Linked DNA regions of Rattus norvegicus. The protein of the gene in region 5 interacts with the protein of the main gene of each other region in a biochemical or structural test. Links are inferred from orthologs where the notes say so. Each region holds a gene or a part of one and is shown on either strand. Other genes may lie near its edges.

Region 1 (3,500 bases), on a different chromosome or scaffold from region 5:
AAGAAAGGCATACATTACTATACCCAACTGCAAATACTGAATTCACCTAAAGCCCCACACCTTTTTTTCTGGCTCAAGAAAAAGGGAGGCCTGTCCTAATGCTTCAGGTGATACAGGGGAACACAGCTCCCTGTAGTCACAGCAGAGTCCTTCCTTCTGCTAACAGCCACAGCTCGCTCTGTCTAGACATAATGCAGAAGTCATTTTTCTTCCACTCACTAATTAGTGAAAAGTATTTTCCTTGCCTCAAATTTAAAACATGTCAAATACCATTACATATTATATACAGAAATTTTAAATATTTGCTCCAGCATTGCTTCATTCTATAGAAATGATATTGTAAGTCATGCTAGGACTCTTGGTAGATCTAATAAAGGCTTATTTTCTTTATAATAACAAACTATGTAATGAAGAATAATAATAAGTTTAAGACTTCTTGCAGTTATACACAAGATTTCAGAAAGGAGGTCTGCAAATATCCACATTTACCAATGAGAACTGAAGACCAGTCTGATTAAAAAGGAACCATGGAGCTGAAGGTTTTTTTTTTTTTTTTTTTTTTTTAAACGTTGGCTTCAAAAGTCCCAGGTTAGAGGGATCTAAGCAGGGAGACAGCTATTTCCCATTCTGAACAGCAGCATGAAGAGATGCCTCGCATTTATAGAACTTACTGGTTGGACTTGATCTTTAGAGACTTTGGAAGACATCCCTCTGACCTACATTTAGACAGTTGATAGGATTGTTTGAGAGAGAAAAGTTAGAATGTAACTTAGAAACTGGCTTTTGAGTGTCTGTTTTAATTCAGACAGTGAGTGTATGAAATGAACTTTATGATTTTCCTTTCCAGAAAGTTGTCTCTACATTTAGAAACCACTTAACATCACAGATATATCAGAACACGGCAGAACTATGTTCCATATAAATACCTTTGATTCAAAGTGACAGATAGGTTAAGGCTCCTTGGATGAGCTTTGTCTGTTTTTTCTATGACTCTCTTTCCTGCTCTGTCTGGTGAGGTTGTCCGACTGTGAGTACCACTGTATGCTGATGCCTTAGCAGTGGTCATTTCTTGAGGTACTTGGGTAGAAGGTGGAGATGCAATCAGTATTTTAATGTCTTCTATATTGTCCTTCGTCACTGCTTTTGATTCATCAGTGGTGGTGGCGGTGGTGGCAGTTGCGGCAGTGACAGTGATGGTAGGTTTCTGTAACTGGGTCTGCTGGAATCCTGTAACTGTGCTCACACTCGGAGGGCTTGGAGAATTGCTCTCTAATGGTGACAACTGATCAAAGGAACGTAACTGGAAATCATCATCCATTGGGATATAGGGAGCCAGCATTTCCAAGTCTAAATCAGTGTCCTTTCAAACAATAAATACAAGAGTTTTTATAATGGCCAGTCTTGTAAAAGAGAAACAAGTTCAACCCAGTCCCTTACAGTATGGAACAAGCAAGGTCACAGACGCACCTGAGCTGAAAATGGATTCTTCGCTTCTGTGTCTTCAGCAAACAGTTTTTCCACCAGTTCCAACTTGAATACATTGACCATATCGCTGTCCACATCAAAGCAGTACTCACTGGGACTGTTAGGCTGTGAAAAGAGTTAGGAGTGTTTACTTTTTCCTGAAGATTTCTGTTTGTTAAGAAGTTTTAGATACACGAATATTATATAAAGTTTTATCTAACTAAAAATTACAGTTAAAAGACTTGTTTAGTTGATGTGGTGGTGCATATCTCTAATCCCAGCACTCACTCAAGAGGCACAGGCAGAAGAATCTGTAAGTTTGAGGCTAGCCTGGTCTACAAAGTGAGTTCCAGGCCAAAAAGGGAAATATGTAGAAGATATTTCATAGCAAAACCCTGTCTCAAAAATATAATAAAATAAAATAAAATAGAACCAAAATACAACCAGGCAAAAAATGTTGTCTATCCCCATCCCAGATGTGTTTATTCTACAAAATAACATTCACCAAATAATTCAGATCCCACAACGGTACATAATTATCCAATTAATTAGAGATATTTTCACCATCATCTCCAAATGCCTATTCTACTGGATATTTTAGAGGATACTCTGCTATGTTATGAGTTATAGACAAGAATTTCAATAATGAATATGGTAGGTGGGTAGACTGAGCATAAAACTTTACTTTTCTTCATTTTCCATTACATTTATTTATTAGATCAAGGACAAAATGAATCACACACTTCTGTGCTAGATAAAGCATCTGGGCAAAGAATACCTTCTCGACCTTGGGTCTGAGATACCATGTTGTTTAACTTACTCCTAGAGTTTTCACCCACAAGAGTTTAATGGAGAACCAGTGCTTATTTGTGTCTCACTAACCAACTAAGCTGTTCTGCTCTCAAGCACAGTGTGACCAGGGGAAAGCTCTGAAATGGAATTGTTTTGAATTTGGAAGCAGCTGTTTATGAACTTTCTGCTCTGGTCCAACCTAGATATTAAAAACCGCCTCTGAGGAGTTTTGGGTTCTATCAGTGTCGGGCATTTATCCCTGACCTTTTCTATGGTACCAACCTCAGGTGAGCTTTGTCTAGTGCTTCCATCAGAAGGACTTGCTGGCTGATCTTGAATCTGGGGCATGGTAAAAGAAAGTCCCAGTGACTCTGGGCTTGACTCTAACTTCAATGCAACCTCTTGATTCAGTGCAGGATCAGCACTACTTCGAAGTGGCTTTGGAGTTTCAGAGGCAGGTAATGGAGACATTGCCAGATTTATATTTAATTTCTCATTAGAAGAGGGGAACATTACATCATTGTACAACGGGACATCTTCAAGTTGTTGGTCTTCAGTTTCCGTGTCTGCAGAGGAAATGTTCATCAGTGTGAAGAACATCAGGATTTTAACAAAATGATATTTTCTGCTTTCTAGAAGATATATAAATATGTAGAAGATATTTCTTTACTTGGAAAGTTTATAGGTATTACAGTGTGACCATTAAGTATAAGTTATCTTTTCAGTCCACCACTGATAGGAGTAAGACATGTACCTTCAACCTTTCTATATGCCTGATTTGAAGTAATAGTTTCCATTTTCACGTTTGCTTTTGTGCTACAGCTGCTTTGTTAAACCCTTTAGCATTTACCCAGCTGCACGTGCTGCATTTAACTGGACTGAATGGTGCAGTGAGGTGGCTGGGAGGAAATTAAGGGGGCATCAAGAAATTCCTTCAGGATACTCTGAGCTACAATTCTCAAAAGAACATAAAAATAAAAGTGAGAAGGCGATGATATTTCAGAAACAAATATTAAACAGAATATTTTGAGGAGACTATTTAAAACAGAACACGTAAGCATCATTCAAAGGGTTAAGCCAAGAGAGGAGACAGAGTGCCACTGAACCAGCAGACACAATGGAAGAGGTGGACAGCGTAACTAAGCACTTGCCATCGCTGCCGAAGTCCAGTGATATGATCGTGTCCCCAGCCGCTGGAGCTAGCAGAGTCAGGGCATCGGGCTCTTTCTTAAGCTTGTCGAAGA
Region 2 (4,016 bases), on a different chromosome or scaffold from region 5:
AGCAGGAAGCCAACTAGTCGCCTCCCCAAGACGTGGCCTTTAGCTTTCTGCCCATGGCCAAAACAGCAGCAGCTGTTGCCAAGGGAGACAGGGTGACCCAGAGGCGTGGGCACAAAATCCAGGGATGGAAATCCACCTTTGTCTGGATCCACCCAAGCAACTGGGTCTCACTAGTTGAGAAAAGATGAAAGAAAAGAATCCCAGGCCTGGGAGGGTAGGTCAGCAGCAGAGGGCTTGCCTAACATGCAGGAAGCCCTGGGTTCGGTCATCGGTTGCAGCCAAAGAGCCAACGAATGAACACCCCGCTTCCTTACCTGGCCTCCTAGGCCCAGGCTGAAGGTACCCAGTCCTAGGAGGCTGGGAGCACAGGCATTAGCCTGAACTCTCAGTACCACACTAACTTTTACCTGCCGGTGAGGAAGGCACAGCCTCTCCTCCAAGCTGCCCCCAGCCCAAAGATTAACCAAGAGCCTTGCAGGCAGAAGAGATCTACTACCCACCCCGGACAAAACAACCTGGGAGAAAGGGTACGCCAGATCTAGTCGAATGCTTTGCCTCTCTAAGTTCTGTCACTTTGAAAGCAAGATCGTTCTAGACCTCCGTGCCTTTTCTGTGTCCCGGTTCTGTTGTCCTCCAGGCACGTTCGTGCCTTGTAAATTGTGAAACACTCTGCAGCTTCGTAGTTGATAGCTCTGGAGGAGGGCTCAGAACAGAAAGCGCTTGGGCTGGGTGCACCCAGGCAGATTGGGAAAAGGCTGCGTCTCCAGATCTGACAGAGCCCTATGAAACTCAACCATCCTGCTCCATCGAAACGATAAAGGAGAAGGGGAAACCGGAGAAAACCACCACATCACACCAGGTCCCCTGAAGCCGGCTGGCAGAGGCTCAGAGGCCGAGCAGACAACACACAGCCTTCCCTCTTCAGTAGGATCCACCCACTCAGGTTTGGAGTTGATAAGACTTTTATTTTTGTTTGGTTTCTTTTTTTTTTTTTAAGTCGGCATTCCCACCATATGTGGTGTTTATTTCCAAGGAAGGCCAACCCTAGGTCCCTGTGGACAGACATTGTTTTGTGCCTTACTATCAGGGCTGGCAGCCCATACACAGCTGCCTTGAGCAGGTGGCCAAGGATGGAAGCTACCAGGACCCAGAACAGTGATGACCTCTACTAGTGTAGGTCCTGGGAGCCCTCCCCCCATCCCTCTGCAGCCAGGGACGTCCCCAAACATTCCCACCTGCCCCTCATCTGGAATCAGTCTTTAAAGGTGTCTGAGAAGGAAAAAACAAAACAAAACCAGAAGACTAAAGTGCTCTCACCCCATTGCCCAGACGCGACTATGCTCTAGAAGGCCTTGGGAGCGAAGTCACTGACCCCTTCCATCAGCCATCTGTGAGCTCCCGCCCGACTCCTCTAGCCCGATGGGAAGGATAAAGGAGGTCAGGACAGATGGCAAAGCGCTTTGGGAAAAGAGGCTCTACAGGAATGCAGGGCCGATGGGAGGCCAGCCCTAGGGTGTTTTGTTATCTGCCTGGAGCTGCCTGCTCGATTCTAGGCACCAGAATACCCTGGATTTAAAAGATCGCAAACCAGCAGGGGTGGGGTGGGAAGAGGGAAAGCCCCTACTTTCTGCCACTTGTTTCTCCCGCTTCAAAGTCGGTGCTCTGCTCTCTAACTAAGTGCGTGCGTGCATGCGTGCACAGGGGGCGGGAGGCTGGCACAACCAAATCTAAAAATACTCAGTAAAAATGCTAATCCCAAGGCAAAGAAAGAGCGAAGAAGGAATCTGTCAATCAACGGGCTCCCGCTCCTCACCCACAGCTGTACCGACTGCATTCCTGTAGACGAGGAAAAGAAATGGGGGAACAGAGCTGAAGAAAAGAAAGGGACACACGCCACCACCTCCAGGAGCCCGGGGCGGGAGGCGGCGGAGGAGGAGGGGCTCGGCCGGCAGAGCCGAACAAAGCGGGGCCTCCACTTGGAGCCCGAAGCCCCGAGAGTTAGGGGGCCAAGCTCAGAAGCATCCCCGCTGCCCAGAGGCAGCTGGCGATCGTTAAGGTCTAGAAGCCAAAATGCCGCACGGAAGCCTGGGCTCTGAGCCTGGACAAATCCGAAGGTTTTGTTTGGGGTCCCTCCACCCACTCTCCGTCCCCTACAGGCGCGCGCGAACACACACACATACACACACACACACACACACACACACACACACACACACACACACACACCCTCCCACCCTCCCTCCTTATCCAACACACACACACACACACACACACACACACACACACACACACACACACACACACCCTCCCACCCTCCCTCCTTATCCAACCGGGCCGCGCTAGGGGGCTGGGCCGGCGCGTCCCCCCACCCCTCGCCGCTCTGGGACCCCACCTGGGGATGGTAATGCACTTGGTGTTCACGTTCTGCGTGGTGATGGCCTTCTCCAGCTCGTCCAACTGCCCCGTCTTCTTGAGCTTCTTCACCAAGCTCTTGACCGCCTTCTCGCACCACTTCTCCTCCTGCCCGTTCTGCTCGCCCTTCTTCCAGCCCAGCAGGCGCTTCACGATCGGGGGGGTGAAGGGCAGGATGGACGACATGGCTGGCACGGAAGGGTCACCGGCGCCCCCGGCGGGGCTGGACGCACTGGGGACGCCGGGGGCGCACAGAGGCAGCTCGGCCTGCGCCGCGCCCGAACTTCGCTTTTAACTCTGGAGAACTTGCCCAGGCGTCCCGGCCAGGATAGCGGCACTGCAGTTGCGGGGATCCGGAACACGGCGGCGCCCGAGCGGCTCCACGCGGACCGACGGACTGACGGACAGGCCCGGGACGCGCGGGGCGGAGGCGGCGGCCGCGAGACTCCGAGTGCCAGTAGAAAGTTTGGGTTTCCGCACGGGGTAGCTGTTTGGGTGCCGCCTCCGAGAAGGAAAGTCCAACCCCCAGCCAAACTTTGCTGGCCTGGATGGCTTTGGTGCGCAGATCCCTCCGCCTCTGCAGCGCTGCTGCTCCTCCCCCTGCGATCGCCGCCTTGCAGGACCGGCCAGGGCCGTGCAGCCGTGCTCCCCGCTCCTCTCCCGCCCGCTCCCAAGTCTACGTTTCACGCAGCTCCGCGTGCAGCCTCCTTCCCAACGCAGTCGCCGCCCCCTCGCTGCCGGGGCTCCCCGCTCCTCCCCCGCGCCCTGCTCCGGGGAGGACCCGCGGCCTTCCCCGCCCAGCTCCGCCAAGCGCGCCCACGTGGGCCACCGGGCACGGCGGCCGTCAGCTCTGCCAAGTGCCGCGGGACCCGACTCCTGGGGACTCGCTGCCCCCAAGACGTTCAGATGTAGTTGCAAGGACTAGAGAGGATTAGACTCGCAGGGAACAGGCACGGTCCGCCAAGGGCTGGCTGCACCTGGGAGAGGACCCGGGCGCGGCGAGGGGTTCAGAAAAAGCTCGGGGCCCAGGAAGTTGAGGCGCGCTGATCTCGCTCAGTGGCCGGGGCTGCTTTAGGTGTTTTTTGTTTTGTTTTTGTTTTCCTGCTGGGTGAGATCAGAACGGCTGACTGCCTGAGACTACTGAGGAGGGAGTTGGAAAACGGGAGAGGGAGACTTAAAAGGGGAGTTACGAGACCTCAGTGACAACTTGAACAATAGCTGGAGCCAGGGGTCCTTTGGGACCAGTGAACCAAGCTCTTTACAGAAAAGGAGCCTCAAAGACATCTGTTGCGTTCCTGAAGGAATGAATGCGGGCGCTTTAGGATTTTTCTTTGGGGGAGGGGGAGAATTAACATTACAGGGTGTTACTGAAGATCCGAAATTCAACACCAAACAAGTAAGAGAGCTTTTGTTTACAAATCAGTGAACTCGCGCGCGCGAGCACACACACAAAGTATAGAGCAAGCCTGGAGGACTTAGGAAGTTTATTCAAAGTTAGCCTAGGTGGGAAGCCAAGAGAACCTGACTTGGGGTAGCTCTAGGGCTTTACCGCAGACTGGGCGAATGCAGGGCTGGTTACCCACCGGTCCCTCTACTGATTTGAG
Region 3 (4,228 bases), on a different chromosome or scaffold from region 5:
GGAGCGTGAGAAAGCACGTGGGCAGAGGCCACAGCAGAAGGGGCGATGTCCAGTGTGCTTCCGGTAGTGGCGCGTCAGTTCGTCAGAGCGAGCGAACCTCCAGTTGCAGCCATCCCAGGAGCAGGCATAAGGCTTCTCTCCTGAAGGACAGGGAGCTGTAAGTAACACCCTCCAAGTTTGCGCACTTGATGAAGTGGAGCCAAGTCTTAGGTGACATCTCACAGTTTAAAGGGCACACAGTCCTGCCTTCTGTGACATGATCCGTTTCTGTATCTACAGCTGCTGTCCTTTAGTTTTCTCATTTCTGGTCTTCTATCCCATTTCCTATGTACTAGTTCCCTGCCTGAGACCGTATGTAGATGCATCATCATTCAGTTTTCTTTTTCCAGCTATTTCTTGCACTGACAGGGTCTGCCGATGATATCCAATCATGTTCCTGAACTTGATCCAAGCCCTGAAATCCACCCCAGGGTCTAAGGCCCTATTTCTAGTGAATCCCTCTCTTCTGGTTTTATACCTGATGCAAGTCTTGCCATGCTTGGGAGACCTGTAACTGTCGTCCAATCCTGGGATGACCCCGTTTCTCTTTCTAGGCTCTGTCTCCCAGCATTTCCTTCTTTTCTTGTGGCCTGCCTTATCTCTGGTACCTCCATCAGTTGCCCCTGAAACTGATTCTACTTAAATGTCTCAACCTCCTGATCCCATACAGTTCCAGCTCGAGCATGACTAGCTATATCCTGAGCTCTGACATTCTAAGCTTGTACCCTCCAGGGTTTACCCCTCTAGTTTCTCCTTATGTGCCATTCATTTTCCATTCTGCTCTTCTCCCATCTCTAACCTAGGCCTTACACATCCGCTTGTAACACTGAAGCCTCCAAAATGTTCCCCAGGCCTTCTGTCTACATCTACTTATTTATGAGACAGGATCTCACTAAGTAGCTCAGGCTGCTGAAACTCGCTATAATAGCCCAAATGGGCTGGAAGTCACTGATCTCCACCTGCTTCTGCCTCCTGCGTGCTGGGATTCTCCCATTTGGGTCTGGAATGGCCCCTTGTAGACTTGACCCAGTGTCTGGGGGAGGGGAGGTGTGCGGTCTTCACGACCCCTAGCGCCGGGGCCTCCTTTAGCCACGCCTCTGGCCACCCTCCGGCCCCTCCCTTTGCTCCGTTTCCGGTTCCAGATCCCGCCCCCTCCGGCCCAGCCCTGTCCTTACCGGTGTGCGTGCGCAGGTGCGCCTTCAGGTGCGAGCTCTTGGTGTAGCTCTTCCCGCATCCTTCGTGCCCGCAGGTGTGTGCCGCCTGCCTCTTTTGTGCCAGAGTTCGCCGGCTGCGTTTGGGCGGCGCAGCTCCTGGGGACAAGCCTGCGTCTCCGGCGATCGCAGTGGCCCCGAGTTCTGTGCCCACCGCACCAGGTCCCAGACAATTCAAAAAGGAAGGGGGCGCAGTGGGACCAGCAGAAGGCGCCGCGAGCCCACGAAAGAGCTGGAAATGGCCTTGGTACTGAGGCGCCGGGTAGAGCGCGGGGTATCCCGACAGCAGCCCATAGGGGGCGCTTGGAGCTGCGGGCACCGCAAGCCCCGCTCGCGGGAAGAAACCTCCGGCCGAGACCGCTCGCGATTCGGAGAATGCGGGCTGCGCCTTGGGAGCGAGTCCCGGGGCCAGGACAGGGGCCACGAAGGGCTCAGGGGTTGGGGGTCTCGGAGTCGGGTGCGCCCAGCCTGCGTGCTCCTCGGAGCCCAAAGGCCCGGTCACCAACCCTGGGCCACCCGCATAAGCGCTCAGAGACTCGGGCGGCGCGAACTGTGCCACTGGGCCCCCGCTGGGTGCCAGGGCACAGGTCCGGGGAGTGCTGGGCGGCTCGGGACCTGAAAAGTTTGTAAGGAAAAGATCCGGATCCCACGCACAGGTCACGTCCCTCTCATCGTCCTCTCCGGGAGGGTCCTCTGATTTCAGACTCACGTGAAAGGACGGTTCCGTGGGATTCGGGGGTCCCGGGCCCAAATCCTGTGTCTCCTCAGACCGCCACCACTGCGGGAGGGAGCGCACTGCTTGAATGGTAGGCACTGGGTACCTGGCCCTGAAGCAACCCCGGCTGGAAACATCGTTGGGGCAGGTTGGTTGAGGGTTTGCGTGCCTATCATTTACCCACACTGTTCCCCTAACCCCCTTCTCAGCTCCCGGCAACTCCATGAGGTCTTGCTAGAGACAGATAAGACACTTACCAAGAACAGCATTCAGGATGGGAGAAGGGGTTCTAGAGTTCTGAGTCAAAGGAATCAGTTTTGACTCCTCCGTTTTCCCTAGCCTTTCCCTATCTTCACGTGGCCCAACAAAAATAAATCTCAAAGCCTAGAAATCCCAGGACACTTTTATCTGGGCCTTTGTCTCTTTGAGCCTAGACTCTTAAGATACAGAACTCAGAATTCCCCTTCCTATTCGAGAAATAGGCCTCACCTTGATATCAGATCCCTGCAACACCTCTCCCAAGCCAGGCTCAGACTCCCCCACCTCCCCCAAAAAACCCTGCAGAGGATAATAAAGTAAGATATAAGCCCCACCCCCAAGCACTGCCTCAGCAAGACCACCTGTGCCCCCTCCCCCACTGGCCCCACCTTGAGGAAGTCCTCCTGGGTGTCCAGGAACTGTCCCAGGGTGGTGAGTGTACTGATGGAGGGTAAGACAGTCTCAGCTGAGGCCATGACTGGCTGCTGTCCACCCTGGGCCTCAGGCCTCCTCTCTCTCTTCTGCCTCATGGGCTATGAGGCTAGGAAGGTTCCTTGGAGGGCTCCTGTCTGCCCACATCTGATTGGCTGTCTTCTCTGATAAGACTCTGGCAAGGCAAAAGGCGAAGGAGGGTGTGTGTGATATGAGTGTGCCGTGTGTCTTTTTTTTTTAAAAAAAGGTTTTTTGAAACAGGGTTCCTCTGTGTAATGGAGCCCAGGCTGTCCTGGACTGACTTATGTAGGCCAGACTGGCCTCGAATTCACCAAGATCTACCTGCCTTTGTTTCCTGAGTGCTGGGATTAAAGTTGTGGCTTGTCACTTTCAAGGAGCAGACCTCACCTTGGCCTGTTTGGGAACTGGTCCCTGAAAACCAACCCTGTGTATAAAACAAGTCAGATGTCAAAGAATAGGGGCTTCAAAGTCTTGGGGTTCAGATGAAGGGTAAAGAAAAGTCCTGGTCCCCTACTCCCACCCCCAGAGGACTGAGAGGACTCTGATCTGGTCTCAAGTCTCTCTCCTTGGAGAAGGAGTAGACCAGGAAGGATAGATTTCTTGGGAAAGTTCTTTGGGACCCTTTGATCCCCATCAGGGCCACTGCAGCCCTTTCCCTCTCAGACAAACAGCAGCAACAGTGCTAATGGCGGGCCTTGGCACCAGCTCTCTTTTGGGCATTATCAGACACACCAGATGTTTCAGGCTGCTATCAGGTAGGGGGCCCAGAACAACATAGCCCTGTTCCTCCTTCAGCGGAAGAGCTGGGGGTTGGTGCCACAAATTATCTTGGCTTTGAAGTGCCTGCGTTGTGTTGGGGGTCTGAGCTGTTTAGCAAAAGGAGACCTCCCAAATCAGTCCACCCTTGGACACTGAGGACCCTTGGTGGCTACTACAGGGGAACTGAAGGGGAGGGCTACGAATCCTACAGTGTGGTGGGATAGGACCCATAGATGGAGCCATAGTAGGTATGCCCCTCAGGAGAGCTCAACCCTGACTACCTAACTACTTGTTGTTTGTGGCCCCCATGGAAGGTAGTCCGCTATTTCCATACTTCTATTCTGGTGCCACGTGAGTCAGGGTAGGGAAACAGAGGGTCATGTGTACCGTAATGTGATCGCACATACACCATCGTTCCTCAGTGTCCATAGGGGACGTCGGATCCATTATAGGAAATGGTACCTAGTCAGGCGTGGTAGTAAATGCCTTCAATCCCAGCACTTGGCAGGCAGAGACTGGTAGATCTCTGTGAATTTGAGAGACCTGTCTAGTCTACATAAGTTCCAGGACAGCCAGAGCTACATGGTCTCTGTCTCAAAAGACAACAAGAGTAAACGGTTCTGGGGCTGGAGAGATGACTCAGTGGTTAAGAGCACTGACTGTTCTTCCAGAGGACCTGCGTTCAATTCCCAGCAACCACATGGTGGTTCACAACCATCTTTAATGAGATCTCACGCCCTCTTCTGGTGTGTCTGAAGACAGCTACAATGTACTTATATATAAATAAATAAAT
Region 4 (3,500 bases), on a different chromosome or scaffold from region 5:
ACCCGAGTGTGGGTCCTACAGAAAACACACTGGGAGCTCACAACTGCCTGTAACTCCAGGCCAGAGTATCTGACATCCTTTCCTGGCCTCTTTGGGCACCTGCATTTGCACATATACATAATCCCACACAGAGAGACACATATGCACATAATGTAAACAATAAAATAAAATATTTTAGCTATTTTTAATGACATGGTCTCTCTCAACAACTCAGCTGCTGTTGTAGCATACAAGCAGACATAGCCACACTAGTATAGAACACTTGGCATGATTTTCCAACTTTAAGGAGGGTAGAAGAGCTGGAGAAAAGGCTCAGCAGTTCACAATGCCTGCTGTCCTACAGGGACCCAAGCTTGTTTTCAAGCACCCATACTGGGAGGCTCACAAGTGCCTACAGCTCCAGCCAGCCAATGCCCCTTTCTGACTTCTGTGGGCAGCCACACATATATGGCATATACTCAGACATATGTCATAAGTAAACAAAAATACATGTAAAAATTCTGAATTGGGAGATCAGTGGCTTAGCAGGTAAGGGTGCATGACACGAAACCTGACAACCTAAGTTCAATGCCTGGACAAAGACCATCCCTTCATACTGGCCTCTCTAAGCTCCGTATTCACACCATGGCATGGTGTCTCCACAGGTGCATGAACACACATACACACAGGCACATTAAGTAAGTCGGTGTTCATTTTAAGGAGAGAACCAATACGATGGAGTATCAGGCGAAGGTGTTCACTGCACAAAACTGATGACTTCAGTTTGAGGCCCAGAATCCACAACTAAAGGAGAGAACTGACTACTGAAAGTTGTCCCCTAGCCTCTATACAAGAGTGACTCACTCACACAACATAATAACAACATAAAAGCAATGAAAATAAAAAATAATAATAATTAATTAAATATCATTAAGACAACAGGTTCTAAACTCTTGAAACGCACCATAAAACAGCAGTCATTTGGGGCTGGGGATTTAGCTCAGTGGTAGAGCGCTTGCCTAGCAAGCGTAAGGCCCTGGGTTCGGTCCCCAGCTCCGGAAAAAAAAAAAAGCAGTCATTTTTATATTCTCAGCACCTCTTTTTTGGAAGATACTTTTCTTTCTAGAAGTATCTATTGATCCAGACTTAACTCACAGCAGGCTGCATGGCCTAGAGCCAGCACCTCATGCTTTAATTCACCTTATGCTGGGCGAGGAAGTCTTTGGCAAACAGCTGTGCTGGGCAGAAAAGTCCTAACTATAGCACTATCTTTGAGGGCTTTGGCTGGTCGTCCAGGTTACTGGGTATCAACCACTGTGGTAGGCATTTCAAGCATCCAAGGCATTTAACAACTAGCTTACAAAAATGTCTACATCGTTAGTGGCTTTCTTGGGCATACTAGTACTCTACTAACTGCAACAAGGATTGTGAAATGGGTGACTGCCTCCCCACTTTCCTCTGAGCAGGCCATGCTCTGCTCATGTGTGAAGCTATGAAATCCCTAAAGCCTACACACAGGAGGAGGTCAGCATTTGCCCCCCACAGACTGGAAGGAAAGAACTTTATGAGATGGTTCTGTTGCAACAATCAATTCTCCAAATTATCCTTGGCACTAATAAAAGAGCCACGAAGACAGCGCAGTATGAAACTTACTAATTTAATCTATCAGAGCCACACCCAAAAGACAGACGCTGTGTATACACTAGTACTCAGGCTATGTCTTCATTTCCTGGAAATGTCTTAAGCCTCCCTGTTCCTGGATGTCTTGCAATGAGACAAGAGCAATACTTTTAACTAAGATATTTTACCTGGATTGATCTAAACTGTCACACAGATCCAGACAGAGACATTATGAATAACTCGCTAACGAGGCCCCTCAACAAAGGCAACATTGTAAGAGAAGAGGAAAGGCTTTGAGTTAAAGGAGACTAAGGAGCCTGGGATATGGCTCACAGGTCAGATGCTTGCTGGGATGTGGCAATCCCTGGATGTGATCCCCGGCACCTCATGAACCTAGCAGTGTGGTTCAAGGTCATTAATCCTGGCTATACAGTGAGTCCAAGATCAGCCTCGACCACATGAGACCAGCCAAAAAAAAAAAAAAAAAAAAAAAGAAGAAGAAGAAAGAAAGAAAGAAAAAGAAAGGGAGGGAAGAAAGGGAGGGAAGGAAGGACGGAAGGAAGGAAACAAAGAAACAAAGAAAGGACCAGAGAAAGAAGATAAAAAGATGAAGAAATGAAAACTGAATGCCATACTTGGTTCTTAACTGGGTCTCCAACAATAATGCATGTTATGAATAGCATGAATTGGTAAGATGGTCATTAGACACAGGGGTTGAAAATTAGGCCACAAGTCAGCAAACTTTCCAGTGAAGTCAAGAGATAAACATTTTGTTTTGCAAGACACACATGCCATAAGAGCTATTACAAGCCCAATCTGCTGGGACACACCTTTCCTCCCAGCCAGTTAGAAGCTGACACAGAATTACTTGAGCCCATAAGTTGAATAGCAGCTATGACTGGTAGGCTGCAGTCTGCCAACCCTAAGCCAGAGAACCTTATAATGAAGTTAAATTCCCTGAGTGCTAGCTCAGGTGATTATCTAAGAGAATTGCTTTAGTACAAGACACAAGCAAATGCACGAGGTATGAGGTATTATTACATCTGTTTGGAGCTGTGAAATGATTCTAAAGGGTTCACAGGAGAGGAGAAAGGAGGTAAAGAAAGGGAAATGGGAGGTGACCCCTGATAAATCTGCAGGCTCAACACACTCTGTGGGGTTTGGGTGTTTTTTTTGGGGGGGGGGGGGGGGCTTTTGTTTTTGGTTTTGATTCTTGGGTTTTTGTTGTAGTTGTTGTTGTTGTTTGGTTACTTTTTTTTTTTTTTCATTGCTGAGGGAGGCTTGAAATTCTCCAATGTGGAAAAGTTTCCAACTACTTGAAACTGTAGTTTGTGGCCCCATAACTGATATTCATCGAAGGGAACCACATCTTAGTTAGCCATTCCTGCCCTCCCTACAGTGATCGATCTCCAGGTTACAGGTGACCAGCAGTGTGTTCTCAGTACCCCACCCTCAGCTCTGACAGCTCTTACGGCAGGGCGACCAGAAGGCCCTCCCAGCTGCTGACCTCTGGTCCAAGCATCCCTGCAGGGTCTGTGATGGTAGACATAACTTCACTGATCAGTTCCACAGGAATATCCCCCATCACTCGAGATCGCTTGGCCTCCTCTGGAGCATGAGAGTTGTTCATTTTCCTCTTTTCTCCTGTGATGTTCAAAATAAAAGGCAAAAGAAAAAAAAAAGGATGGTTTGAAATGGAAAATACATACTGATGAATCTAACTTATTTGGGAGGAGACATGGAGTGAGACAAGGTCTTGCCATGTATCCCTGGCTATTCCAGGAGGAGAAAGGGTGGTAGTGAAGGTTGAGAAGGGAGACTGCCCATTCCAGGTCTATCTTAAAGATTGCCTATTTTCTAAGATGACTTTCAACTTGGCATATGAGTTATTAAAGCATGTT
Region 5 (3,500 bases):
AAAGTATACTTTATTTGTAAGGCTTTGGATCTCCATAGCACTGCGTTATCTCTTGAAGACTCCAGCCTAACACTTCTGATTCTTGTCTTATAGATGGCCATTTCTCCTTCCCGGATGCCTCAGCCTCCCAATATGATGGGCACCCATGCCAACAACATTATGGCCCAGGCACCTACTCAGAACCAGTTTCTGCCACAGAACCAGTTTCCATCATCCAGTGGGGCAATGAGTGTGAACAGTGTAGGCATGGGGCAGCCCGCAACCCAGGCAGGTGTTTCACAGGTACATTCAGTGTGGGAGCCTGGTCAGCTAGTATTTACGTAGCCTCAGCCTCTGTTGACAGGTTCCTGTCTTATTTTATGGGAACTAGAATTCTAGAGTATATATCTCCATTTCCCATTTTGCTCCGTAATTTTTAATTCTCAATCCTTCTAGGTGAACTTCACACAAAAGTAAAATGGGTTGTGGTTGTGGGGTTTTTGGTTGGTTGGTTGGTCTTTTGTTTTTGTTTGTTCATTTGTTTTATTTTCTTTATATTTTTTATCTTTGGATTTTGGTTGCTGTTTGTGTGTTTTAGAAATCTAAGATTAACGGCATCCTGAGAAGTACTAGAACTTGAAGGGTGGATCCTCTTTTAGTGACTTGGTTTCTTGGATTTCAGTGTGTGTGTGTGTGTGTGTGTGTGTGTGTGTGTGTGTGTGCGCGCGCGCGCGTCTGTCTGTCTGTCTGTCTCTCTGACTATGTGTGTTGGGGGTCAAGGCTAGCAGACTCATTGGAGTAGCACTCTTCTCCTGAGCATGCCTCAGTTATTTAGTTACAGCCGACTTTCCCACCCATTTTACTGCTTTCTCCCACTTTGGTTAACTGTAGTATATCAAATGTCAGCTGCATACAAAGTAGGCTAAATCTTTTCTCAAAATAAAAAAAAATTGTGTCCTTTTAAGAATTTAGCTAATGCTGAATGAGTTGTTGAATATGTTAGGCTTGCTCAGTAATGATTAATTTTCTCTATCTCATTTCTTCAGAACAGAGATCAGGAAACCAACTTTCTTCTCTTTCCAGAGTCTCTCCATGTTACGTAGCCCAGGCTACACTCTTTGTATCTTAGCCATATGCCACAATGACCAGCAGTAAACCTTTTCTGTTCAACAGCTGGTTCTCAGGGCCATAGTCCTAGTCTTAACTGTTTAACTCTGCTCTCAAAGTGTATAAGTAGTTACACACACCATGTAACTTGTAATCTGGTTGTTGTTGTCATCCTGTAGAACTGGACCAAAGTCCCTAGGCCAAACTTGTCTCTGGAATGGTAATTTTGATTCTCTCTCTCTCTCTCTCTCTCTCTTTTTTTTTTTTTTTTAAGTCAGGGGTCTCCCCAGTGTTCTAGTATCTCAACTTATTTTAAAAAAAAAAAAAAGCCCTTTTTCTGTTGTCTAAGTAGATGTTACAAAACATGAAGTCGGTAAACTAAGTAAATGTGTCTAAGCCATGAATATTGTAATCAGATATTGACGTTATACAAATCAGAGTATAGAAGCATTTTAGTGCTTATTATTACATGGTGTGGTGCATGCTATAAATGGTTAGTCTGAAGTTTTGCAAATGTACTATCCTCATGAAACTACCAGAACTAATTAAGAAACTAGAATTACATTTTTCTAATTTTTTTTTCCGTAAGTCCCTTATGGTTTCAATTGGGTAAAGTAAGTTTTACATATTCTTATTATTTCTTTTAGGGCCAGGTGCCTGGAGGTACACTTCCTAACCCTCTGAACATGCTGGCGCCCCAGACCAGCCAGCTTCCTTGCCCACCAGTGACACAGTCACCTTTGCACCCGACTCCACCTCCTGCTTCCACAGCTGCTGGCATGCCCTCTCTCCAGCATCCGACACCACCAGGGATGACCCCTCCCCAGCCAGCAGCTCCCACTCAGCCATCCACTCCTGTGTCATCTGGGCAGACTCCTACCCCAACTCCTGGCTCAGTGCCCAGTGCTGCCCAAACACAGAGCACCCCAACAGTGCAGGCAGCAGCACAGGCTCAGGTGACCCCACAGCCTCAGACTCCAGTGCAGCCACCATCTGTGGCCACTCCTCAGTCATCACAGCAGCAACCAACGCCTGTGCATACTCAGCCTCCTGGCACACCGGTGAGCCTCTTCGTCATTATCAAGCTAAACTCATACAGGGCACCTTACCATAAGAATGATGTGTCGAGCACTCGTGCACAAGCAGGCATATCTAGCTAGAAAAGTAAGATGCCATCTTTTAAAAAAAGGACTATTCTGTCTGTTGGGATGCTATAGCAAATTGCTCTGGTGCCAAAAAGTGAGAGAGAGAGAGAGAGAGAGAGAGAGAGAGAGAGAGAGAGAGAGAGAGAGTGTGTGTGTGTGTGTGTGTGTGTGTGTGTGTGTGTGTGTCTGAAATTGCAGTAAACTGAATTGTTCCTCTATTGTCCCTAAAGGTATGGCTTATAGTTTGCCTTGGTTAAAGTGGTTTATAGAAATCAATAGTCCTCGGTATGTCACACATTGAACTGTATGCACTACCATTATTTTACCTGTTTTCTGTTCTAGAGTAATTACCGTCCAGGTTTGACTGCTTTTGTGCTTTTGTGGGTTTAGTAGACATGCTATGCTCCAAACTATAAAGGTCTTGGCTAATCAACCTTGTTTGAGAATACATGCCTTTTTTTATTCATAATGAAACAACAGATCCCCTCCTCCCGGGTTTGTATTAATTCTTAGATATTTAAGCTATTTGTAGAATGACAAAATTAATCATGCAACAGTTGGAAAGATGACATTACTGTTGGTTTCTCCATAAGGGCGTGTGCTTACTCTTACCTCTTACCAGAGCTTTATCTTTCTTTATTAGTTTCTGTAGTGCTTCATAGGGTAAAGCCTGTAATGGAGTGGGGTGTTTGCTTACTCCACTGCCATCACTGTCCTGTGAGACATGCTTCATATAGGCCATTAGTCCCCAACCTCCCTGTAAATACTTAAGGGTTTGCCTTTCTCCATAAGTAGGAATGTTAGTGAAGAAAATAATGGTAAAATAATCCAGTCAGAAAGCAGAGAGACTATAACTTAGAAAAGTACTTCTGCCCTTTAGTGGTCATACTAAGTACTTAGGTTGTAAGGAGAAATACTAAACAGAAGACTGAGCTTGGAGGTACAAGAGTTGGAGGAACATTTGTGTTATCTGCTTTACAGAGGTGAATGATTTTGATTTCTTTGCAGCTTTCTCAGGCAGCAGCCAGCATTGATAATAGAGTCCCTACTCCCTCCTCTGTGACCAGTGCTGAAACCAGTTCCCAGCAGCCAGGACCTGATGTGCCCATGCTGGAAATGAAGACAGAGGTGCAGACAGATGATGCTGAACCTGATCCTGCTGAATCCAAGGGGGAACCCCGCTCTGAGGTAGATGCTCCCTCCCTCAGCCTTAGTGCATGGCTGTGTGTGGCAGCTTTACCGTATGTCCTCAGGACCTAGGATGGTGTT
Region 6 (3,500 bases), on a different chromosome or scaffold from region 5:
AAATACATGATCTTTGGATACTGGAACTGAAAAATATGATTGACTCCTCAGATAAATCCAAGGATCAAGTTTTCAAAAAAAAAAAAAAACCTAAAAATTATAATTTTACCTGAGCAATTTCATAAATTGTGTGTGTGTGTGTGTGTGTGTGTGTGTGTTGGTGTGCACGCGCATATGATGGGCAAGTGCTGAGAATCAAACCTTCACACATGGTAGGAATACACCCTGTCAACTGAGGTTTGTTCCCAGCTCTTCATAATGGATTATAATTGCATTAAAAGGAAAGTTAAAAAAAAAATGTGGTACCAATGTACCTAATTAAGTTATTGTATAACAGAAGTAAATTAATTTAGGATTATCGGTGACCTCTGGGTAATTATACTATCCTGAGTGGTATGCGCACAGAAAATGGATAATTCACTGTTCAATCAAGAGCTATGAGTTCATGACTATTAGTCACTTTATCAAGGTGATAAATTTGTGGAAATTAACATACTAGCATATATAATGCTATGTTAGCTAATTCCAGATTTTACTATCTTAGATGTTAAAAAATGTCTATGAATTATTCTACGATTAACTTTGTAAGATTACTTGGAAAGGTCTGGAGATAGGGCTGCTCTCTCAGAGAACTTAGGTTCTATTCCCAGCATCAACAGGGAGGCTCACAGCCATGAGCAACTAGTTCTAGGGGACAGGACACCCTCTTCTGGCCTTTGCTGGTACTGCACACATCTGGTGCACAAAAACATCCATACACATAAAATAAAAATACACGAAGAGGGTCGGGGAACAAGGACTTTTAAAGAATCATAAGGTTATCAAAATCAAATCTTCATTTCTCCTGGAGTTAATTTGCAAATTCAAGTGTATTTAATTAACATTCTACTTTTTCTTGATTACACAGCAACAACCTCAAAGTGAATGGAAGGAAAAGATATGGGCTACTCTGTTAAGATCATTTGATTTTGTTATTTTTCCTGGAAATCTAAAAACATCTGCTCTTATGTAACAGATATAGTTGTTTTAAACAGTAAGGTCTCACACACACACACACACGACAATTCTTTGAAAATAAAAGTCTCATCTAAGATTTAAACATTTTTAACTGTGTAATATTTATTTGTACACTTGATTACTTTAAAAGTATAAGATAGTTCTGACAAAACCAAATTCATTAAAATAAATTCATTATCTCTAGGTATAATTAAATTGCTACCAAGAAATATGAACAAAGAAATATAATTATGTTAAATTTTAACTTAAATAATCTAAATACAATTAAATTGTAATAGCTGAGATTCTGTAAAGGACAGCTTTTGGAAAAAAGCAGAATGAAAAAGGAGGGATGAATACAAGTAGGAAAGAATGAGAAAGAGGTTTACACAGGACTGCAGAGATGACTTAAGAGGTTAAGAGCACTGACTACTCTTCCAAAAGACCCAAATTCAATTCCCAGCACCCACGTGGTGGCTAACAGCCACCTGTAACTTCAGTTTCAGGGGATCCAATGCTCTCTTCTAACCTTTACAGGCACCACATACATGTGCTGTTGATATACAATGCAAGCAAAGCACTCATACACATAAAACAAAAAAATTTTTTTTTAAATAAACAAGTTACAAAATAAGCAGTTTGCCATACATGTGAGTATTCAGTACTTTGTTTCTTAGTGGAAAAGAAAAGTCAAGAACATAATGCTAAATCACTTTCATCAAAGGCACACATGCATGTACAAAAGGATGGTATATAAGGTGAATAAAGCTTTAAGAAAACTCAAAGTACTAGTACGTTTAAACTGAAGCATCTAAGGGAATGGTAGGCAATCCATTCATCCTCCTCATCAGCTCCTGTGTGTCTTTCTTTCCTAATTCAAGCGAAACTCCCTAAGTAGTGAATTAGGACAGGGATAGGTTATACCCTCCGTGTGTTCATGCTGGAGGAGAAGTCTTGTACAATATCAGAGAAGAACCATCTTGAACACTTAAAATAATCTGGGTATGAAGCTATGTAAACACACACATACAGACACAGAGCCAGGCCAGGGTGGGGAAGATGTACCCCTTTACAGCTACCAATAGTTTAAGGAAAAAAGTCCATCTAAGTTTATTTAGCTCAGTTATCACAGACAGTAAAGACAATTTATCAAGAACACCACCCCTAGTGTTCAGACAGATGACCTAGTGGTTAAGAACGCTTAATCCTCTTGTAGAGGACTTAGGCTTGGTTCTTGGCACCCACATTAGGTGGCTCACAATTGTCTGTCACTCTATCTCCACAGGATCTGATCCAAAGGCTTCCCAGAACTGCTGCACACATGTGATGCATATAAACCCATGCAGGCACACACACACTCATAAATAAAACTAGCAAATATTAAAAAATTACCCTTCTTTATAAATAATACCAAAAGTTTCCGTGTTGGAAAAACTAAAAATTTTGCTTTAGGAATCCACTTTAAATACAGCTGGAATACAAATTACAGGCTGGCAAGCCAACACCATGCTAAAATTAAAAATAGTAATTTGTGTGTGAATCATGTAAGAAACATGGTGGAAGGCAGGAATGGGTAAAAGAAAAAAGAGAGTGACATTCCCATAAATGCCTTTTAACAATTCTTCAATAATGTCTGACAGTAGGGCAAACAATATTGCCAGCAAAAGCTTTGGCATTTATCATTTCCTTAAAGAGAACCTAACAGTTTTCCTTCTCACTTTTCATAATAGAAAAACGTATTACTCACTATACTGCCCACTGCTAGTTTGGTAAATCGGGGTTGGCACTGTTACAGTGGTGATGGCAGGGGCTGAAGTCTCTTCTTCTGATTTTTCTTCTTCAATCCTTGGCACCCCTGGTGCATCAGAAGATAAGTCATTCAAAATTTTCCTAGAAAAATAAGGAGCTATTTTAATTAAAAAAAAGTCACTAAGTACAAATTAAGATTAGAAACTGCTAATGTATAGGACAAAAATTCAAACACATGAATAAACTCCAAACAAAGTAGGAACTTTAAATGCAAGAATTGCGTGATGGTAATGGGGGTGGTGGTGGTGGATAATAAATAAAACTACATATGTTTTGTTTTTTTTTATCTTATGCGCTAGGGTGTTTTATTTGTACATGTTTAGTGCCTGCAGAATCCAAAGGAGGACACTGTATATCGTATGACTAGAGTTACAGATGGCTGTGAGATGCTGTATGTGTCCTGGGGATTGAATTTGAATCTTTTAGAAGACCCATCTCCCTCTACCCACTCCAAGCCGTGTGTGTGTGTGTGTGTGTGTGTGTGTGTGTGTGTCCCCGAGACAGGGTTTCTCTGTGTGGTCCTGGTATCTTGAAACTCACCCTGTCACTCTATTTAGATCAGGCTGGCCACAAACTCAAGAGATCTGCCTACCTCTGCTTCCTAAGTGCCAAGATTAAAGGCATGCATCGCCACCACCTGGCTTATTTTGGTTTTTAAGAAGGTGTCTTATTATGAATCTCAGGAAAATCACAAT
Region 7 (4,184 bases), on a different chromosome or scaffold from region 5:
TCCTTCTTTTGATGTGAATGTTCATATTTTCATTAGTAATTGTTAATAATTTTTTAATTTTTATGAGTGTTTCTGTCCGAATGTGTGTCTATGAACCACATTTAGGCCTGGTGCAGTGCTGAAAAACATATCAGATTCTCTGGGACTAGAGTTATAGGCATTTTTGAATGCATATACGGGTGCTGGGAATCAAACCTGAGTCCTCTGGAAGAGTAGCCAATGCTCTTTGATTGCTGGGCCACTTATAATCGGCTCATTACTAATTACAGAAAAGATTATTTTATTAATGTCTTGTACTGTGAAGGTTTTTGACTTACTTTAGTTTTCATTTTTCCCCCCTTTACTTAGTATAACCTTAATCTTCCCTGAATGTTTGTGCAAGAGGGTCACTGTATTCAAAGGAAGATGTTTAGGTCTATGATGTAAGGCAACTAGTTTATGAGCTGGAGGGAGCTCTTGCAACTTCAACTTTCAATAGCATTTTGGTCATCTATAGCCACCAAGACTTTGTTCTAGAGCTGGAGATGTGGTGGCCCAGGTCTTTAATCTCAGCACTGGGGAGGCAGAGGCAAGAGGAGGCCAGTCTGGTTGACTTAGCAATGTTCTATAATAGCCAGAGCTACTTAGTGAGACCCTGCCTCAAAACACAAAACAAAACCAAAGATGTGACCGGAAGGGTTGTTTCTTCATGCCCCACCCCTAGACTCCCACAGGGTTCTTCCATGTAGCCTTGGCTGTCCCGGAACTCACTTTGTAGACCAAGATGGCCTCAAACTCACAGAGATCTGCTTGCCTCTATCACTCGGAGTACGCCACCATAACTCAGCTCGTTGTGGTTAACTTCATTCACTCTGACATGCTAGTGGCTTCCAAATCGCTTTCACTTTCTCTCTTGTAGAAAATGAAAACTTGTTACTATTGTATTTCTAGTAATCAAAGTCATGAATGTGGCAGCAGCAAGCAAGAGGGGGCCATAAAGATATTATACAGGGAATTCACTATATTCAGGAAGAGTTGGTTCCGGCCTCAGAAGCGTACAAGATGTCCAACAGGGAGGAGCCTAAGCGGTCAGTTTGACCCCAAACACACACAGCCTGCAGGCAAAGCGCTGGTCTCCCTAAGGCCTGAGGCAGCGGGCCGGTTTTCCCGGCCCCGCTGAAGACCTAGCGGTTCTCTTGCTCCAGGAAAGTAGCTTAACCTTGACGATTTCATCTCCCGCATTCCCTAAGGCGTTTTCCCGCTTCCCTTTCCCGTCTTCCCAAACTCTCCTCTGCGCGCTGCGGAAGTGACGCAAGACGTAGCGGAAGTCCCTGCAGCCGCGGTGTTGTGCTGTGGAGAAGAGACGGATTTGTAAACCTCAGAGTGCGGTTCTGCCTGCCGGAGGCCGCTGTGGTGCGGAGACCCCCGGGTGAATCCACCGACACCATGTCTGACCAGGTACCGGGCCACGGCCTTGGGGCTCAGGGCCGTCGGCTGCTGGCTGAGCCCCTGGAATGGGGCGCGGGGGGAGGGGGTGATGTTGGGGGAGGGGGCTGCCGGTGGGGAGGGGGCCGCGAGGGACGCCGAGCGCCTGGCAGAGTCGGGCCGAGCCGCCTGGGATCGAGGGTCTCCGGGTTTTACGCACCCTCCGCGGCCCTTTCGGAGGCCTCTACCCCCACGCCATCCAGCGCCGGGTCTCTTTCGACTGCTCCCAGGTTTCTCTCGGGCTCGCTGGGGGCCCAGGCCCGCTCCCTTGTCCGTGAGAGCAACCTGGGGGAAAACGACCGTTTCCCTTTCAGAGGACCGATGGCAGAAACAAGGCCCTAGGCCCAGTTATGTAACGGGAGAGAATCCCTGCCTGGGAGGCTAGGTGGCCCTGAAAAGCAGCTCGATTCTACTTTGGGTTCTTGGTCCCGGAGAGTGGGGGGCGGGCAGGGATCCTTGTTTGGGGTGACTGGGAACCCAGGAGACGCTGCTTTTCAGTTGTGTTTGCCTGGAGGGTCAGTCCGTCTTTGCCCACTTCAGAGTCATTTTTCCATCCGGGGGTGCGGAGCGGTCGACTCTTTCTCTGTACTTTCCATTTCTTACTCGGGATTGGTCCATCAACTCTCCAGTTGTAGGAGCGCTCAGAATAACCGAGAAACAACAAACTGCGTAGAGTGCCACCACCAACATGCCATCCATACGGTTTTTGTCTGGCTTTCCTTTTGTTTGGTCAGATGACTTAATTTTCAGAGTATTTTTTTTTTTTTTAATTTTTACTTCTTTAGTTACAATTCAGCAAACTTTTTTCATTCTACTTTACATTGTAGTTGAGCTTTTTTAAAATTTTTTTTGTTGGTTTTTTTTTTTTTTTTTTTTTTGAGACGTTGGTTTTCTGTGTAGCCTGGTTGTCCTGGAACTCCCTCTGTAGACGAGGCTGGCCTCCAGTTTATAGAGATCCGCCTGTCTGTTTCCTGAGGATGAAAGGCTTGCAACCACCCCAGACTGGCCATAGTGGTTCTATTTTTATAGCCTATCTACACTGTAAATTAGTTGTGGGATGGATTTACTTATTAATAATCTGGATTATTAATCTTTTGGGCTAGAAATGACTTTATGAAGCCCATAATTTGTTTATGACAGTTGTTTACTTAGTTACCAGAGAGGAGAGATCAGCTGTGTAAACGCTTATGCTTCATCAGACTTCTATTTTTAAAGCATGTTAGCCAGATGAGAGGGCAACATACAGAAAGAGTTTTAAGTTTTAGGATTAGTTTTGCTCTAGTTTGAACTTACATTATGTGAGGATATGAAGAAAGAAAAGAGGACCCTAGGACACAAGGTTTCAGGGAGTCTGCAAAGTCACTCTATGCTTGCTTAGGACTCTCTCACCTCACTTGGGGTCTTTGGGTGCTGGACCTAGGGCCTCCCACATGTGCTTGCCAGGCAGGCACTAAACCCTCATTTCTCCTTTTACTTCATTTCATTAAGTTGTCTAGGTTGGACTGTAACACACTTGTCTTTGAACTTGGACTCCCTCAGCCTTGCAGAGTAGCTGGGATTACAGAGTTATGCTGCCACACTTGGTGTGTGTGTGTGTGTGTGTGTGTGTGTGTGTGTTTCTCATTCTATCATGGATGTTCAATGAAAATTTTAGAAACATGACAAAAAAGTAGAACAAATCTTTTTTTTTGAGGCAGGGTCTTAACTATGTAGCTTTTCCTGGCCTGGAACTCAGTTTCTCCTGTGTCTGTTTCCTGAGTGCTGGGATTAAAGATGTCTACCACCACAGTTGGCAAAACAAGTCTTTTTTTTTAAATTGAGCTACACATTAAAGCAATTTGCATAGGAAATAGTGCTGCTACTCTTAAAATTTTTGTCTTTAAAAAAAGTAATAAAAATGTATCTAACATTTTAGGGGTTTATTTAGTTCAAGTCAAGGGTTTCTCTGTGTAGCCTTAGTTGTCCTGGAACTTGCTATGTAGATCAGATTGGCCTCAGATTTTCCTTGCCTTGCCTCTGCCTCCCAGAGTGTATACCACCACGACAGCTGGGTTGATAGGTTTTTAAATCATTGAGAGTGTGATAATGGATTTGGGAGCTGTTGCTTTAGGCTGATGGATAACATTAATCTTAGTTCCCAGAACAAGTTCAGTATTGAGTGTTAAAGATTTGGAGAAAACGGTTAAGTGAATCCTTGCCTGTAAGAGGTTTATAAGTGAGAGTAGGAATCCCCAAGTACTGTGTGTAATAGCAACAGCCTGAGACTGAGCTGTCTTCAGAAGGTGGCCTTAGAGGGTACTTTTTCAAGTTGGGGGGTTCGATAATGTGCTTGACTTGAATACAAGATGCCCTCCAGTACCCATGCACATTTTATTTTCTGAGGCAACTCTTAGAAGCTTGTATCTTGTGCTTAAAATAGTCACATTGAGTAATAGTTTCAGCTTTTCTCTTTGTTTTGAGATGCTCTCACTGTGTATCTAGGCTGGCAGTGATCCTTCTGTTTTTACTTTCCTGAGTCCTGGGATTACAGGTGTATGTGTATGCCACTGTGTCTTGCCATAATTTCAGTTTAAAATGAGTGGATCTTTATATCTAAAATAGATCACAATCTAATGCCTAAACCTTGAGAATTCACTGAATTATGCAGTTTTTTTAAAAAGAAGGTACTATAGGTCCCATCATTGGTACATGATTTCCCAAAGAATGAGGATCATTCTATA

Evidence for each region.
Region 1: the proteins of Crebbp (region 5) and Hif1a form a complex in vitro, tested with the Homo sapiens proteins (6 studies listed by BioGRID and IntAct, with this or other methods). The link is inferred for Rattus norvegicus from reciprocal best matches to the Homo sapiens genes CREBBP and HIF1A.
Region 2: the proteins of Crebbp (region 5) and Smad3 form a complex in vitro, tested with the Homo sapiens proteins (3 studies listed by BioGRID, with this or other methods). The link is inferred for Rattus norvegicus from reciprocal best matches to the Homo sapiens genes CREBBP and SMAD3.
Region 3: the proteins of Crebbp (region 5) and Klf1 form a complex in vitro, tested with the Homo sapiens proteins (2 studies listed by BioGRID and IntAct, with this or other methods). The link is inferred for Rattus norvegicus from reciprocal best matches to the Homo sapiens genes CREBBP and KLF1.
Region 4: the proteins of Crebbp (region 5) and Kat2b form a complex in vitro, tested with the Homo sapiens proteins (4 studies listed by BioGRID). The link is inferred for Rattus norvegicus from reciprocal best matches to the Homo sapiens genes CREBBP and KAT2B.
Region 6: the proteins of Crebbp (region 5) and Creb1 form a complex in vitro, tested with the Homo sapiens proteins (15 studies listed by BioGRID, with this or other methods). The link is inferred for Rattus norvegicus from reciprocal best matches to the Homo sapiens genes CREBBP and CREB1.
Region 7: the proteins of Crebbp (region 5) and Sumo1 form a complex in vitro, tested with the Homo sapiens proteins (2 studies listed by BioGRID, with this or other methods). The link is inferred for Rattus norvegicus from reciprocal best matches to the Homo sapiens genes CREBBP and SUMO1.

The regions. Positions count from the first base shown.
Region 1 is NC_086024.1:98,397,898-98,401,397, reverse strand, and holds part of Hif1a (hypoxia-inducible factor 1-alpha), read right to left. Parts: coding exon 3,408-3,500; intron 2,823-3,407; coding exon 2,539-2,822; intron 1,591-2,538; coding exon 1,468-1,590; intron 1,361-1,467; coding exon 927-1,360; intron 1-926.
Region 2 is NC_086026.1:73,129,525-73,133,540, forward strand, and holds the start of Smad3 (mothers against decapentaplegic homolog 3), read right to left. Parts: upstream 2,801-4,016; 5' UTR 2,599-2,800; coding exon 2,393-2,598; intron 1-2,392. UniProt on the Homo sapiens protein: Receptor-regulated SMAD (R-SMAD) that is an intracellular signal transducer and transcriptional modulator activated by TGF-beta (transforming growth factor) and activin type 1 receptor kinases.
Region 3 is NC_086037.1:40,155,852-40,160,079, forward strand, and holds the start of Klf1 (Krueppel-like factor 1), read right to left. Parts: upstream 2,801-4,228; 5' UTR 2,754-2,800; coding exon 2,613-2,753; intron 2,029-2,612; coding exon 1,215-2,028; intron 156-1,214; coding exon of another isoform or gene 141-155; coding exon 1-140. UniProt on the Homo sapiens protein: Transcription regulator of erythrocyte development that probably serves as a general switch factor during erythropoiesis. Is a dual regulator of fetal-to-adult globin switching.
Region 4 is NC_086027.1:6,879,145-6,882,644, reverse strand, and holds part of Kat2b (histone acetyltransferase KAT2B), read right to left. Parts: intron 3,244-3,500; coding exon 3,107-3,243; intron 1-3,106. UniProt on the Homo sapiens protein: Functions as a histone acetyltransferase (HAT) to promote transcriptional activation. Has significant histone acetyltransferase activity with core histones (H3 and H4), and also with nucleosome core particles.
Region 5 is NC_086028.1:11,932,840-11,936,339, forward strand, and holds part of Crebbp (histone lysine acetyltransferase CREBBP), read left to right. Parts: intron 1-93; coding exon 94-282; intron 283-1,733; coding exon 1,734-2,147; intron 2,148-3,239; coding exon 3,240-3,419; intron 3,420-3,500. UniProt on the Homo sapiens protein: Acetylates histones, giving a specific tag for transcriptional activation. Mediates acetylation of histone H3 at 'Lys-18' and 'Lys-27' (H3K18ac and H3K27ac, respectively).
Region 6 is NC_086027.1:73,432,228-73,435,727, reverse strand, and holds part of Creb1 (cyclic AMP-responsive element-binding protein 1), read right to left. Parts: exon of another isoform or gene 2,887-3,500; coding exon 2,744-2,886; exon of another isoform or gene 1-2,743.
Region 7 is NC_086027.1:68,600,004-68,604,187, reverse strand, and holds the start of Sumo1 (small ubiquitin-related modifier 1), read left to right. Parts: upstream 1-1,384; 5' UTR 1,385-1,425; coding exon 1,426-1,437; intron 1,438-4,184. UniProt on the Homo sapiens protein: Ubiquitin-like protein that can be covalently attached to proteins as a monomer or a lysine-linked polymer.